2 linked regions of the Nothobranchius furzeri genome follow. The protein of the gene in region 1 interacts with the protein of each later gene in a pairwise test. Links are inferred from orthologs where the notes say so. Each region holds a gene or a part of one and is shown on either strand. Other genes may lie near its edges.

Region 1 (8,129 bases):
AACGATTTGAAAAGACTGACAGATCTACATCACATTGTCACCAAACATTCATGGGGTGTTTCTTAATGTGAAGGAACTTTGACTTGACGTCTTGGTCCTGCCCCGGTTGCCTAAGAGAAACATCATCAGGAACCGCCAAGGTGTGTTCCAATGTTCATGTTCTACCGAGGCATCCTAGCTGAGCTGAGCAAGGATACACGGGAGGTGCCTTGTAGCCTGGCCCTGGTCAAAAATTTCCCAGAATATAGCATATATATATATATATATATATATATATATATATATATATATATATATATATATATAGTTGCCTATAGTAGTTGCAGATTCGGTTGCTAACAGGTATAAGTTGCTTACATATGTACACAATTTAAAAAGTATAAGGCTTGTTATACGTTTATATTGAAACTCATACGCATAAAATATAACGTTACCTCATGTATCACGTGACAAGACATGACCGCCGTGGAAGTTGTGGTCATGTCATGCAAGTCTGTTCCATTTAACCGTTTCCTTTGCCCAAGGAAGGACAGTGTCCTCGTAAGCGAGGCCAGGCTCCTTGACATTGAGAAATACCCATGGACTCACCCATCTTGACCACAACAGGGAAGGCTGTTGTTTATTTAACATCCAGGAAACAGCAGAGAATGTATTGGCTAGTAGAAGCTAACTGTTAGCATCAGCAACTTCACCACACAGCAGAACTCCTCCAGGCTTATATGGAAATAAAAATCAACGTTGCAAAGCAAACAGAGTCAGTGGTAGAGCTGTTTAGCTGTCCGAATTTCAGGAAATCAGACTCCAAAACATGCCGTCTGAAGCTCAGCTGTGATGTGGCTCACTTCTAGTTCCTGGAAATGGTGCATCAGTGCACCCCAAGTACGACTAATAAGGCATTCATTCCTACTGCAAACATATTGATTGAATGAGTGTTCCACACCTTTTAGGCATTTGCTTAAACCGTGAACAATAAATCACTTATTTTATTTTATTACATCAGTATTTCCTGGCACAAAATTCCAGATCCAAAAGGATGTCAATCATGGACTGCTCATTTAACACAATGTAAACCATATTTGCTCATGATGGATGCTTTCTCGTTTGGCCCTTTTATTTTCTTTTACCCATTTTACCTAATAGTTAACAGTTGCAAAATGGCATAATCCAACACTTACAGTTAGAGAAATAACGAGGACAAAAATAATCAGCTGAACTCCAGCCGAGGCAGCTGTTGAATCAACACGTTACATTCTTCAGTGTGTGTTCGTCACATTCAGGTTTCTTATAATCACAGCCTGTATAGGAAGAAAATATTGTTAGTATATAATTTAATGCTGTGAACTATAAAACAAAACAACAGCGAATTTTATGTAAGCATGTGTGGCAAGTAGAGAATTTAGATATTTGACAGCTGTGGCTACGTTGTAAAGGTGAAAGAGTGAAAACGATGCACGTTGTGAAGATAATTAGCTGACATTTTGGGAAGCTGCATGAAAATGTCAAATGTCAGCGCGAAAGCATGCCATAGCCTGGTGAGCCAATGAGGGAGCCAGAGACACCAATTTGTGGGTGTGTTGTGACAATGGAGTGAGGAGAGGTGAAGCCATTATGTGCTCTGAGGGGGGCTGATGAAAAGGTGATGTAAGATGAAGAACCAGTGCAAATGTAGGCAGTTTTGTGTGAGGTTCTTACTGGTCGATGGTCCAGTTGAGCTTTCCTCAGCTTCTGCAGCATCTATTGACCCAATAGAACAGCTTTCGATATGCAACTTGTTTATTTTACTTAAAGAAAACAAATGACTGCTTCAGACCTCGTTTCAGCCTCCTCCTTGCAAGTTTGATCTGGTCTTGAAGGATCTGCACCCAATCTCGAGGCCCTGGCAACTTCTCTATTCTGTGATTGGTGCAGTATTTTTCTGTAAACACTGGCCACAAGTCACTCAAATAATTAGAACATTTGTCTTTATTATGCCAGCAACAAAGAGTGAATTGATCTTGTTTTACCTTTAATTGCACCCACAATGTTTTGGTCCAAACCCTTACGGTTGTCATTGAGCCCACGTTTCCTTTTGCCATTTGGCAGAGAGTTGGCCAGAGTAGCGTCATCAAAGAAGGCACACACCTAAGGACAAAACACAGCTCCTGATCTTAGAAGTATGTTTAATTTTTGCTTTTTAAAATCCCAGAAGCGTACCAGTTTGCGAAACAGCAAGCTGCCAGAGCGGGTATAATTTACTAGGATGGAGTCCAGTTGGGCCTTGGAGATGAAAACATCATAGTCCTCTGCAAGACGAACGTCAGACTGTGAGGGAGTGAAAAGGAAATATTAATCATTATGGTAAAGTTATCAACCAGGAGAGGTGATTAAAGCAGTCTTTATGAAGGCATCACCACCTTTAGCATTATAGCTCCAGTACTGTGAATGTAACTTTAAAATTTAACTTCCTGAAATCTTTTCAAATAGTTTATCATCAGAGTTTAGCAAAGGAAAGAAAAAGCAGACCCTCCCTCAGAACTCTGCCTCTTAAACAGGATTTGTACTTTCATCAAAAACCTAATCCTAAACATACATTGTGTCCTCTAGTGGAGGATCTAGGTCCTGCAGGTAGTTAATGCCAAAGAGTTCAACAGTCAAATTTTAGCCACAGACTGAACCCTAATCAACACCACTGAGCGTGTTACCTCTAACACTTGATGCTCCTTTGGTTGGTTCAGGGGAGGATCGTGTGTGTTGCTGACCTGAGGTGGCTGCGCAGACACATTACAGGAAATCAAACCAATGTTGAGTGCTGATGAGTCTAGTTTCTCACAATCCTCCCTCCTCATGGACTCAGAAGTAACTGGTTTAAGCACTGAGGAAGATGTGGGTGCCCTTCTGGTGCTGTACACACTGAGTGGAGCCACCTTATAGATCGGCCTTCTCTTTTGGGGTGTACGCCGAGGAGAGGAACCTGGACCAAGGGAAGGTTGGCATGGTGATCCTGCCTGTTCTTTCTTTTCAAATGGTGCTATGGAGGAAAAAAAATCACAAGAATAAAAGATTTCCTTTAGGTTGTCCATATATTTTGTATAAGATTCCTCCTTTCTGACCTTTTTGAGTTTGCATCAGCCTCCTCATTGCTCTCAGTTCCTGGAGTATAGCCTCTAAGGTGTCTTTACAGTTACACATGCAGCAGGGGATTTCAGGCACAGCAGGAGGGAGCACTTCTCCTGCAAAGTCAGTGTTGATTTGTTTAGTCACTGTCAGCTTTAACATGTCCAATGTGCTTTCATGCTGACGTTGACCAAAAACTTAAGAGGAAATTGAAGTTTTTGCAAACATTTTAAAATATAATGACCTGAGATTCAAAGATTCCCTACCGTTTGTATTACTGGGTTTGACTGAGTCCTTTAAGCTGCTGAGGCTCCTGGAGCTTTTGGACAGGGTGCTATGACCACAGGCTTGACCGTTTAGAGTGGGGCTCGCTATGGATGAAGATGCTGGCTCAGGGTCCCCCTCAGAGCTCCAGCTGCGGTGACGATGTGATGCAGGAGATGGAATTTGTGTCTGGTGCAGGCTGTTCAGATCTTTATCCTGGGGCTCCTGAGGCAAGCTGTTTGACTCACTTCCAACCTGTTGATATGCCCTCCCAGTCTTATCACTCAGAAGTCTCATCATACCCGTGATTTGCCTCTTGATCCCCATGCTCTCATCAAGCCAAACTGCATTTAACAGAAGGTGGTTAGAGCATCATTTTGCAGTCATGCAATATATAAAAAAATAATCAGAATACCACCAGGTACAGCTGCATCATTAGCTCCCTCGTTGCCATTCTTGCAACTTGCAACATATGAAGGGTCACAATCTGCACATAAAATTGTTTTTTTAATAACAAAATAAGAAAAAATTGCAGCAAAACTTGTGATGCAAAGTGTCTGCAGACTGGTGTGCTCTGATGTAAACCAGCCCCCCTCCCATCCATGCACAAACCACCACCTGTAGGTATGAAGTAGTTTAGAGAAAGGTATTTAGTAGCAAAAAATAATATATAAAAAGCTTCGAGTCGCATGACATAAATGCGCAACAGATGTGTACGTTTTTGATTAATTATTCTTCTTTTTGAAAAATTTAAACGCCTGGACCATGTGAGGAGAATTTCTGTTTCGTTTTCTTGTTTGAAAGGTTGGCTCTTGGGGATTTATTTATAGAAAATCGATGCACAGACTGGGTATTGTCGTGGCCATCGCTTTTGTCTCTGCTGCTGGCACACGGCGCCAGACAAACACCCAGACACATGAGCGCGTCTTGTTAAGGTCTCGCTTTCATTCAGCAGCATTACCTTCATCCGTGACCAGTTTAAAGCTCTGGGATTTCCTTCTCCGCTTCCGTTCTCCAAACTCCATCCTCAACGGGAATATCCAGCAAGTCGTGCCGTCGGATTTCGCTCCAAGACAAAATCTGTATTTTTTTTTATTTTTTCACTCAGCACAATCACTGTCCGTCTGCTTCATTAATCAGTTAGAAAATTCGCCTATTCTTGTCATCGGAAGATTTCCCAACGTTTGGGTGTAAAATTCTCCAGGAATAAAAAATTGTGGACATGCATCCCCTCTCCCAGCATGACGGCGGTCCTTCCCTTTCGCCATGTAAATACATTAATGACTTTATTATTAAGAATTCGTCACATATCCCTTTGCGCCACCTGATGGTATCCTTTAAAAGGTCGAGCACAAGGCTTTTGCCACTGGACAACAAACTGAAATCTAAGCAAAAGCAGTCAGGTTGAAGGAGCTACAGAACTTTTTAAAAGGCTTTTTGAATTAAACTGGATCTAAAACGCTGCTCACAACAGAATTTACTTGTTTAACAGCATAAACATGATGTGACAGAAAATATCTAATGTGGCATAAAAAGGTCAAACTCTATTGAGTATTACAGGAATCCAGTGTTGTCTGTCAAAGTTTGGAATACCTAGATATTTACATTTACTTTCCAACCATTTTTCCTCTAAATGTTCTCCAATTAAGTCTTTTTTCATGCCACTACTGTTGTCTTTCTTTGAGATGTGTCTAATTTGAAACACTTTTGGAGGCTTTTATGTAATTTCGTCTCCTTTTGTTATTTTTAAGCGTTTCAATTTTTTTCAGAAACACACACACACACACACAATGTACAACTGCATCTATACATAAATAATATAAATAGATGCAGCTGTACATTTTCATTTAATTTTACTGTGTTATCTTAAGAAAATTCAAATAGGTTTATATATAATTTATAAATTTGAGAAAATCTGATACAACTAGTGTAGCTTTATACTTTTCAAATTTTAAAGTTTTTAGTGTAAATGAAATCTTCTTAACATAGCCATATAGGTTCATACCAGGTTCATTCTAGAATAAAACTGTTCATTCCAGAAGTGTCGCATTTGGGAGTTAGTCTTTTATTTTGAAAAAAGGAAATGAACTTTTTAAGGCTCTTATGTTGAATTTTTTGTTTCCGTTTTTAAGCCCTGGACGTCAACCTTTTTCTACATTTGATGTCAACACTCTTCAGCTATCCGCAAAAGAAGACATTTTCATAATATTCTTCTGAAATGGATATACTTAAAGCTGAAATAGCAAGAAAGAGAAAACTTCTAGAGGAAAAAGAGCTCATTGATGTGAGTATTTTGTGGTTTTTAATCTGCTTTTGTTAGCCTAACATTTAGCTTTGTTAGCTAGCGTTGAGTTAGCTGGAAGTTTGAAGTCAACACTTTCCATGATTATTGCTTTTCTTACTCTCGTCGGTGCTCTTATGAACTCTGCACACGTGGAAAATAACGTTACATGTATAAATTTAAATGTGTCAGTAAGATCTTTACGTTGAACGTAAAAAGCGGATCTTGAAACGTGCTTCAGTCATTTTTGTGTAACGCGTCTTACTACCTTGTTGCTTTGAATTTCAAATTAATTGTGTGTTGTGTTTCTAAACTAAACGAATTATTTAGCTTGTTCTCTGTCAATTGTGATTTTTTTTAAATCGGGTGGGTTATTGCACATTGTTTCTTGGATAAGAAAGAGAGCAAACGTTAGCATGTAGCTTCTTGTTGGGGAGTTCCTGTGTTATTATGTTCCTTTAACTGCCCTACAGGTTGAATTTTCAATAGGATTAAACATATCAATCAACTTTTTCTCAACAGGACTCCAAAAAATTCTTCAAAAGAGCTGATCTGGCTCGCAAGGAAAAAGAAGAGTACTTCAAACGCTGTGGATTAAAGGTTAATGTCAAGATCAGTTTGCATTACTTTCTCGAACACGCTCCATTACATCTAAATAACTGTATTCCTATTATTTTTTTCTTTAGGTCATTGTCAATTTAGGAATTTTCCTAAGACTAGTTGTTAAAGATCCCTTTCAGCACAACAATTGAATGAAACTTGGTGGAGTTTGTTACACAGTACATGAACAGTTTGCTTAAAAACAAAAGGCTAGGACTTAATGTGCAGGTCTAAATCAGTATCTGTGTTTACTGTGCTGTTTTTCTGCGACCTGCCTCTGCTGCCTGCATCTGTAGGTTCAGGCAGAGACTCCCGAGAGCCAGGTATGGGATTGTTGAGTGAAAGTAGTAAACAGGTTGCATGATGAAAGGATAAACACTCAGTGTCCCAAATGCTTCCGCTTCCTTGGCATCCTCTCAGAATGAAGTGGCATTTCATTTGATGGGGACTTTTTTTCTTGGAGGACATCAGTTGATGAGGGTTGTGAAAATACAAGTTCTTGCAGTTTATGCCAAACTTAATTGGCATTTTTATCCAAATAACTAGTTTTTTATTTTAAATCCAACAAAGTAAATGCATATTATCTGCTTAAAATTATTGAGCTGTACCTAAACACACTTCCTCCACTTTAACCTTTCTCAGAACAGTTTATAATTTTTTGTTTTGTCCCAGAAATACTATTAACAACCCCAGTATATAATGTTTTTGTGAAGTTCTAAAATATTTTTTTGAAAGGCAGGGTAACAAGGAAAGGAAGCAACAAATGCAAGCTAAAGTGGGACACAGCCACTCTCTGGATTTCAGCATGGTGTACTGGGCTACAAAGTCAAAGCTCTGCTCTTTATTTTGCAAATTAATTTGGACAGAAGCTGCAATATTTAGACCAAGTTCAAGTGTTTTCTTGTTTTGTGTTATTAGTTGGCCACACATTCCAAAAGTTTCATAAAAAAATTGCAATTCTGTTCAAGTTTTTTAAAGCTTTAAAACACTAAACCCTTGAAGTGATTCTTCTTCTTCATGTGTTTTGTTTATTTGAGCAAGAGACATGTGTTTTTGGTTTTAAGAAGGCCTTTTGTCACCATTTTATTGTTTTGTTTTTTAGATTGGGCTTCTGAAACCACAACCTGACAGTGCTGTATTGCATGAGTCCCTTAATGCATGATGTTGTTTTCCAGTCATCTTTGTTTTAAACTGAACTGTACATGTTTTTCCTGCAACAAGTGTTAGAATGTGCAATGTTCAGACCACATCTAATGAAATCAATCTGATTACAGCAACACCACATTATGACATAAAGATGAACATGTGAATGTTGCTGAATCAAGTTTGATGGCACATATTCATTTCAACACTTTTTCTACATATTTATTTATGTAAATGTTGCAAGAAAACACATTTTCAGTGTTGTCTCAACTGTCTTTCATTAATGTTGGTATGTTTGTTTTTTCATTTTGTCCCTAAGATTGACAAGAATGAGGAGAATGAACCCTCTACTTCTTCTAATCCAGTATTGGAGCTGGAATTGACCGAGGAGAAGCTGCCGATGACTCTGTCCCGACAGGAGGTGAGCAAATTCGAAACAGCTTGTAGGTATGGACAATATATCGACATCAATATCTGTATCGGCCGATGTTAGTCATTTTTTTATCGGTCCGGTAATTAAAACCGGGCTGATAATGACAACCGATATTTTTTCTATCACATCTCCCTTTGTTTGCCTGCTTCAGAGGGTGAGGGGGTGATGTCAGATCAGATCAAATCAACTTTATTTATATAACACTTTTCATACAAAAAAAAAAACAGCAACTCAAAGTGCTTCACAGGTGGCCCCATAGATCCCATATTCCCATCCCAGTCCCCCTCCCCAAGTATAAAACAATTGACAATTGCA
Region 2 (7,626 bases), on another chromosome or scaffold:
CTTGGTTTTTCCCTGTGGGGCAGTTCTCGACTGAAAACATAACTGAACTTCTTGTGAACTTCCTGTGTGTGTTGTGTAAATTACACCAGACGCAGTTGTGACCACAGAGAGGTGATTGAGACAGACCTCCGTGCTGACAGAGGAACGTGTGATTGCTGATGGGGCCTGGCTCGGCGAAGGTGTTGAACTTGTTCAGCCATTCTCTGGAGATGTAAAACTGCAGCAGGCTGGGCTCCTTCATGTTGGCCAGAGCCACCACCTTCTGTCTCTCTCGGACCGACTCCTCGCTGCTTTTCCTACGTTAAAACGTCAGAAACACGGTCACACCTAAACAAAGATCCGACGGTTCCCATTTCGATCCGATGCTTTTATGCTCACCTATAAAACAAAACGTAGGCCTCTGCATTCTGCACCACCGTCTCGTGGACTTCTGTCACATACTGGTCATCAAACTCATACCACTGACCGTTAATCACATTCTGACAGTAAGCTATATAATGACCACCTGCACACAAAACAGATGAGAAAATGCAAGAAGATCAGTTTTTCTGCTGACTAAAAACTGATAAGATCAAGCAACTCGTGCAGGTGCTTGGTCAGTGTCTGGTGAACCACAGAGAAACGAAACACAGCTTGTGGGAAATGATGTATTCTCATACTTCCTGCCGTGCCATGATGGCAGATGACTGACAGCAGATCGTAGGTGGTGACTTGAGATGGGCTGTCTTTAGCCAGGAAAGGCTGCATGTCGAGGCCCTCCAGCGGGAACGACACGTGGCTGCTGATCTTGAATGAATACATGATCTCGTGTCGAAAACGCTTCAGGTGAATGCAAAGAATCTATACGAGACACATACTCACGTTCAGTAAAGCTTACTTTTTATCTGCAGGAAGACTGAAATCAAAAGATAAAACACATACCTCAGGGAGTTTTAGCACTTTGCAGTATTTGACCCCATTTCGCAACCTGTTACAGGCAAAAATAATTAATAAAAGAACACAGTGTTCTCATCCGAAGCAAGCCTGGATCGTTGTACATACTCACTTCTTACATCTCTCGCAGCTGTACATGTTGTCTCCTGGAACAGATGACGAACAGAAACGTGAGTTCAAGCACATTGAATGGGGCGAACATCACATTTCAGTTCTGTTCACCTTTCAGCTCATCTGCAGCAAAAAAGGCAGCGAGGCAGTCCTCCAGAGTAACCATGGGCCCCCAAAACCAAGTGGGGATGCATGAGACAACAAACCTGTTTAATGAGACAACAATCAGCACTGCACGCAGAAATCAGACCCAAGGCTTCTGCAAATCAGATGGTTAAACGGTGAAGCAGCCAAGAGTCCAGGTAGCTATTTAAAACTTATTACAACCCGACAGAAGACCGTAAAATGTTGAGCAGGCTGTTGAGTTCCAGTTTAAGCAGAACAAAAGCTTTTCAATTCATGGGGAAAAAAGTTTTTTTAAAGTACAAAAGTTCATTTCCATCAGCTGCAAACAGAGCACCAGAGCTGGAACAACTTTTAATTGTATAAAACCAAGTTCTCTCATTTTTCAGTACATTAATGGTGGTCTAAATGAGCGCTTTGTTAGTCGATCTCAGAGGTAAAAAAGCTCTGGCTCTCCTGTTTCAGGAACTAGAAGTGATCCAGAGAGTGGAGCAGAAGACGGCAGGACTTCCTGATATTTGGACATCTCTTCTTTGATTGGCTAACAGCAACGACTCTACCACTGACTCCATTTGCGCTGCAACGTTGATGTTTCATCTCCACAAATAACACAAGCCTGGAGTTCTGCTGTGTTGCTAATGCTAATGGTTGGCTTCTGCTAGCTAAGACGTTCTCTGCTGTTTCCTGAATGCTAAACCAACGACAGCACTTCCCCGTCGTGAGTCAAGATGGGTGAGACCCTAACTAAAGTCCTGAAGTTCGGCATGACTCACCTATGATGACATTTTCTAAAGTTGCAAGCTACTGAATAATAACTAGTTACAACTTGATGGTCTCTGCTCCAACACCTAACATGACAAATCTGAGGCGGCTGGTACAAGAAAGATTCTTGGTGAGGCAGATGTGCTAATAATAATCAGCTAGCTCATCAGCGAAAGCAAAGAAATGAACAGTTGGGAAATGACGACAAGTGCACAATAACTAAATGACAGTAAGGCTGTTAAAGACGCACGCGGCTCAGTTCATCAGCCTGACGAAGTCCGCAGCCGCAAACGAAACGTTGCAGGTAAATAAAACCGTTCTGTGTTTTAAAAAGAACTAAAAGATGGAATTAGAATTTCAACACAGCAACAACACACCAACGGTGGTTAGCTTCCGTTAGCTCAGCAGGCTAACTGGAGCTAATCTAATTTAGCCTAGTGAACTAGACCAAATTCTTGCTTTGCAAAGTTTGGTCTAGGCATGCTCCATTGGAACCTCAGCAGCTCCTACCAGGACTCTGGCTAGCCAATCACAGCTCTCTAGAGGGGTTTCAAACACATAAAGAGCTGTGATTTGGTCCATAATGGTGGGCCAATCATAGTGCTCTATCTGCTTGGTGAACAAATCACAGAGCTTTGTCCGCTTTGTGGGCCAATCAGGGCACTCTATATGCCTGGTGGGTGGGATGATGCAACAGAGTGAAACAAGAGTATGTCACAGTCATTGTCCAGTAGAATGCGGAGATCATTTGAAAGACAACGGTAGAACCTGCCCCACAACTGAGAGCTGTCAATGGAGTGTGGCCACACTAAATAATACATTTATTTAGTCTGGCTTGCCAGGCTAAATCTAATTCATAGCGTCTTTAATTCACCACAAACATTGCAGATCATCATAATTGATGTTTGTTAAATGAACACACACAACTTTTTTCTCCCCCACATTTGAGGGTGGAACTCCAGCGCCACCTATGGATGAGCTGCAGCCGTGACAAATGCAAGGGAAAGTCTCAATTAGTACATCATTGATTTAAAATAAAGGGAAATCTACTCACTGATGTCATAAAACTGTTTTCATCACAAACTGACGATGATGATAAACCACCACCCAGCATAGATAATGAATGCATTTTCTTCTCATTGCCTTGGACAATTATTTTCCTCAACTGTTTAACCATAATCCCAACACTATTCAAGGTTGGCCCTGAAAAACTAAACTCAGACTATTTTAAAGCAGCCGGCTTAAACTCAAATTCAGCTGCAACGCCTAAATATTTAAAAGGAGTCTGGGTTTCACGATGACCGGCTACATTTGGCCGTTTCCTGTAAATAAAAAAGTGATGCGTCATTGCTGATGTGATGAGTCTATTGCAGGGTAATCATACAGACGCCTTAAAAACAAAAGAAAGGTAAGCACATGAGAAAACTGAAAAGAGCGCAAGGCTGCATTTGTTGCCTCTAAAGTTTAGGCAGAGCTACCTGCATGTCCTCACCTGCATTTACCTGTAGTACATTTTCCCAAAACAGCTGCATTCAACGCACGGGATGATCACTTACTTGGAATTCCAAATGTGGTCGACTTCCAGAAAAATGAAGCGAACTTTTACGAATAAATAGGGAGAACATGACAACTCAAGATGCTACTTGCCCACATTCATAGTGAAACACAAACCCTGCAGTCCTGTTTTTCTAACCTGCATCTGGCAATAAAACAAAAACCCTTCACGTGTTTTCATCATCATTTCATAGTTTACTGCGCGTGCGACTACCACTTTAAACAGAATGTGCTTCACTGACCGGCGTATGGAGTCCATGATGTAAGCGATCCAGCCCTGTGAGCCGTAGGTGTCGGGGCAGACGCCGGTCTTCATTGGCAGGTTCTGATGGATGGAGGAATGCAGCTTCGCCAAGTCTTCCTTGCCCGGAATGGGCAGGGATAGGTCCTGGAAGGTCTCTACCGTGGTGGAAACCTGTCACACATCCACAGAGCTGAATCACAACGCATGAGACGGTGTCATTAGAAAGATAAAATGTTAACCTGCAACATTTTTATTCATTTCATAACAGCTATTATTTCTCTCAAATGAAAAAGCACAAGTCAAATTTCTATCTATATAAAATGTCTTCATCTGTGATTACGCAGAACATTTCTGAGTTGGATTACGTGAGGAGCTCCCCCTGGTGTTGTAACACATGAAGCACATCTTACCCTGTCACAGGTTAAACACTGGACCAGACTGAGGATGGAGCCGTCAAAGATGTCTGAGATTACGCTGCGATAGTGAGACTGCTTCTTCTTCCTGGAACTGAGCAGCAGCTGAGCTGGAAGACACGAAGGAGACAGACTCAACCAACAACGCCATCAGCCAGAGTCTCAAGCAGATCTAATCGTATAACGACATCACAGTTTTTCTTCGTTTACAGACATAAATCGTTAGGACTCTTCCACTTACGGGAGACAAATACTCAGTAGTTACTGAAACAACACAAAGACTTGTGGTTGAACAGAAACAGTTACAAGATGCCCCTTAGCTTATCTTTTCTATTGGAGTACCATAATATTTACTTAAGTCGGTTTCATTAGTTTTTTTATTCTTATTCTGATGAACCTAAATTCAACAGAAATTAGATTTTCATCAGTTGAATTTTAATTATTATTATTATCAGTTTCAAGTTACGTCTAAGTCTTCTGCAGGTTTTTCTGTATTTAAATCAACACTAAAGAGATTTTAACACCATTTTCAAACTGGGTTCAGAGATTCTTGAGGCAGAAACATGAGCAACTTCACACTGAACAGCACTGTAACCCTCTGCTGAGCAGAACAGTTTCGTGGTTTGGGCAGGAACACTTGTCAGAGGTCTCTGCCTGCTTTACGGCAATAGCTGTTTACTGTGCCAGTAGCTAATATAACGGCTAACAGCTAGCTTATTCGGTTCGCTGACTGTTGGTAAAAAGTGGAAGAAGAAGAATTTTGCTTTTTTGTTGGCATCATGGAAGTAAAAGTAAGAGAGTAATGTCTACGGAGGCAAAACAAAGAGCTAAAACCAGAGTGAACATCGGCAGAGCCTTGAAGGAGCAGCTGGAGGAAGGAACGTTAAACTTATTAAGTGTTGTTTAAACTTTTTTGTTCCACGTCTGAATAAAACATCACAGTTAAGTCTTCATTTCACCCTCAACTAACAGGTGAATAAATTCTTCTGCTTCAGGCAATGCTAATGAACCACAGTCAATCTGAACTGATTCTGTCACCTGCAGCTTAAACAAGAAGGATAAAGTTCAACAGCTTTTATGGCTGCTCTGCCCATAATTTGTTTTGGCGGGTGAAATATGCACAGGTGTGAAGGTGTAAAACAGAAACCCCAGAAGTAGCTGATCAGGCACCCTTTTTGAAGGAGTATGCAGGTCCAGCTGAGCGGAGGGGGCTGGAGCGTGGTGGACTGGATGACAGTTTGGGATGCAGCTCCTGGAGAGTCCGTACCGGACTGCAGGGACTGGACTGCGGTTGGGGCATTGATGCTTCATTATCTGGTTCTAGAATCACACGTCATATTACGTACACGCAGTTTAACGTTACAATTTAGAAAAGAAAGAAGCTAAACGTAACACTCCTGCTGGTCTTCTACCTGAGGTACTGTTGCTCTGGACTTGCCCTGAAGCAGATGTCTGGTTATTTTCCTGACTTTGGACTTCGGTGTGTGCATCTGGAGCTGACTGCTCCTCCTCTGTCCTCCAAGGAGCCTGCTCCTCAGCTGATGTGTCCACATCCGCATCTTCATCCATCTCCTGTGAGCCTCCACGCAGCGGTGAGCCAGACATCCTCTTCTCCTTCAGCCTCTCCTTCTCCGAGATCACCGCTGGAGAGACGATTCCGGCCATCCCCATGGACGGGGGCCTGAACCCGTCACACTCGTCCTGCAGGAGCAGCTCGCCGTCGCCCAGCCCTCCACTCTCCCCCCGGTCACTGCTGGAGCCGGAGTCACAGGACAGAAATTCATCTTCGGATGGAGAGCGGTCCCCGTCTCTCCTCTCCTCCCCGTCGCTTCCCTCGACACTCAGGCTGCACTCAGTCAGCGGCTCTTTCAGCTCCTCGTGTAACTGGTCCATCAGACAGCGTAGGAACTCCTGAGTGTCCTAGAGCAACACGAGATTATTTCATTTAAAAATATGACCAAAAAGAGGATCAGGGACGTTTCTGCTGTAAAAATGAAACAAATCTAATTGAAACATTTACATTTCCACTGTCAGGTGGTTAGCAGGTACGTACTGAGCGCTTACCTGCTGGGCATAACCTCGAAACATGGGGTTTACTAATTTGATGCCATGAGACAGGCTGGTGGGAACAACATAACTGGGCCTGAGGGAGAAGTCAGAGGAGAGTTTGAAATAAATATATAATATATATTAATAAATCATCTTATATATGTAAAACTGAATAGCCTCAGGTGAGTGTTTGATACCGTTTCTTATGCCAGAGTTCTGAGATCAGTTTCTGGTAGCTTTTACACAGAGCCGGCTTCTTATCGGTCCGGACCAACCCGCTACAGTCCAGGAAAAACTGAGTGAGAGGAGGACTGGTGGAGAGAGAACGACAAACCGCATCAATACAGCTGCTTTAGGGACAAACACAAGAGGAGCTGACACATCCCCACTGACAGAGGGAGAGGGTGAACTCACCAGTTGGACAGGGCCTGAAGAGCAGCATTCATGTAGCAGGAATTCCCAATGTTTTTCATGCCTGTCAAACCTAAAAGCAACAAAAACAAGACCCACAAAGGTCTGGGATGACTTCTTCATACATTAAGATGCAGAAATCAGAAGATTCAACTACTGCGTTAAATTAGGGGCTTGTAAGTAAAACTCTAAAGGCTGGTTTCCACTTTTCCGTCGACACATTGGTGCCCGCACACACTGACGGAGATGTTTTTCTTCCACACGTCTCCGTTGGTGTCAGTGTTGTGAAACAATTCTCTGCCAAGACAGCAGAGGGCGTAGCACTTTCCTGTGGTATCCCGCCATCGTTGCAGTCACATCTCTAGCGTGTTTACTATTGTGTGTTTACATTGCGTTTCTGTATTTCAGAGACATTTTTACTCTGAAGAATTTGCCCCTCATTGTCCTCCACCTCTTCATGTGGTCGCCACCTCTAAACTCAAACTTCCTGTAATTTCCTGACACAAATTAAAAGTCTGCTGCGTTCTTGTTCTGCCACGGTTGTATTAACATTAATATCGTTGGACTTTTGTCGCGAGGCGTTCTTTAAGCTGCTCCGTGTCTGCAACTAGATGTCTTTGGCTCTCGTTTTATTTTATTTTTGAGAGGGGATGGCAGTGTTTTTGATTAAGTTAAAGGAAGCGGCGACCTGACAAATCAGTCTTGAAGTCTATCGCTTTTAATGGATATTTAGGAAATTGGGCTCCACTCGGTCATCCTTGCAAACTCCTTTTATTATTCTGTACCTCTGGGTTTAAGCTCATCCTCCTCTGATTCTGACCCTTCTTCCGCCACAGCGATTGGTACTGCTTTCAGTGGGTGACTTGCTGCCAGAGGAACTGCCTCCTGGGAAAACAATTAACACATTATATAAGCTCTATGCTGCTTTTTGTTGTCGATCAGACAGGAACAAAAAATAATCAGGAAACCTGAGATAACCCACCTGCTCTGTGGCTTTGCAGTGATGAGGAGCGGCCGGAACAGGAA

The links. The genes of interacting proteins can lie anywhere in the genome.
Region 2: the proteins of bend7 (region 1) and usp20 interact in binary tests that used the Homo sapiens proteins (3 or more experiments, as listed by UniProt). The two-hybrid records come from large-scale screens. The link is inferred for Nothobranchius furzeri from reciprocal best matches to the Homo sapiens genes BEND7 and USP20.

Annotation. Positions count from the first base shown.
Region 1 is NC_091744.1:72,598,388-72,606,516, forward strand, and holds bend7 (BEN domain-containing protein 7), read right to left. Parts: upstream 5,141-8,129; 5' UTR 4,383-5,140; coding exon 4,319-4,382; intron 3,845-4,318; coding exon 3,776-3,844; intron 3,702-3,775; coding exon 3,360-3,701; intron 3,210-3,359; coding exon 3,090-3,209; intron 3,008-3,089; coding exon 2,682-3,007; intron 2,302-2,681; coding exon 2,194-2,301; intron 2,122-2,193; coding exon 2,004-2,121; intron 1,925-2,003; coding exon 1,811-1,924; intron 1,735-1,810; coding exon 1,693-1,734; intron 1,296-1,692; coding exon 1,237-1,295; 3' UTR 113-1,236; downstream 1-112. Other genes in the region: prpf18 (pre-mRNA-splicing factor 18), read left to right, coding at 5,576-5,641, 6,161-6,238, 6,535-6,561, 7,701-7,802.
Region 2 is NC_091746.1:62,094,594-62,102,219, forward strand, and holds part of usp20 (ubiquitin carboxyl-terminal hydrolase 20), read right to left. Parts: coding exon 7,583-7,626; intron 7,486-7,582; coding exon 7,386-7,485; intron 6,674-7,385; coding exon 6,604-6,673; intron 6,501-6,603; coding exon 6,387-6,500; intron 6,284-6,386; coding exon 6,205-6,283; intron 6,061-6,204; coding exon 5,553-6,060; intron 5,461-5,552; coding exon 5,311-5,460; intron 4,251-5,310; coding exon 4,138-4,250; intron 3,899-4,137; coding exon 3,726-3,898; intron 1,251-3,725; coding exon 1,156-1,250; intron 1,080-1,155; coding exon 1,046-1,079; intron 968-1,045; coding exon 922-967; intron 841-921; coding exon 660-840; intron 506-659; coding exon 379-505; intron 297-378; coding exon 127-296; intron 1-126.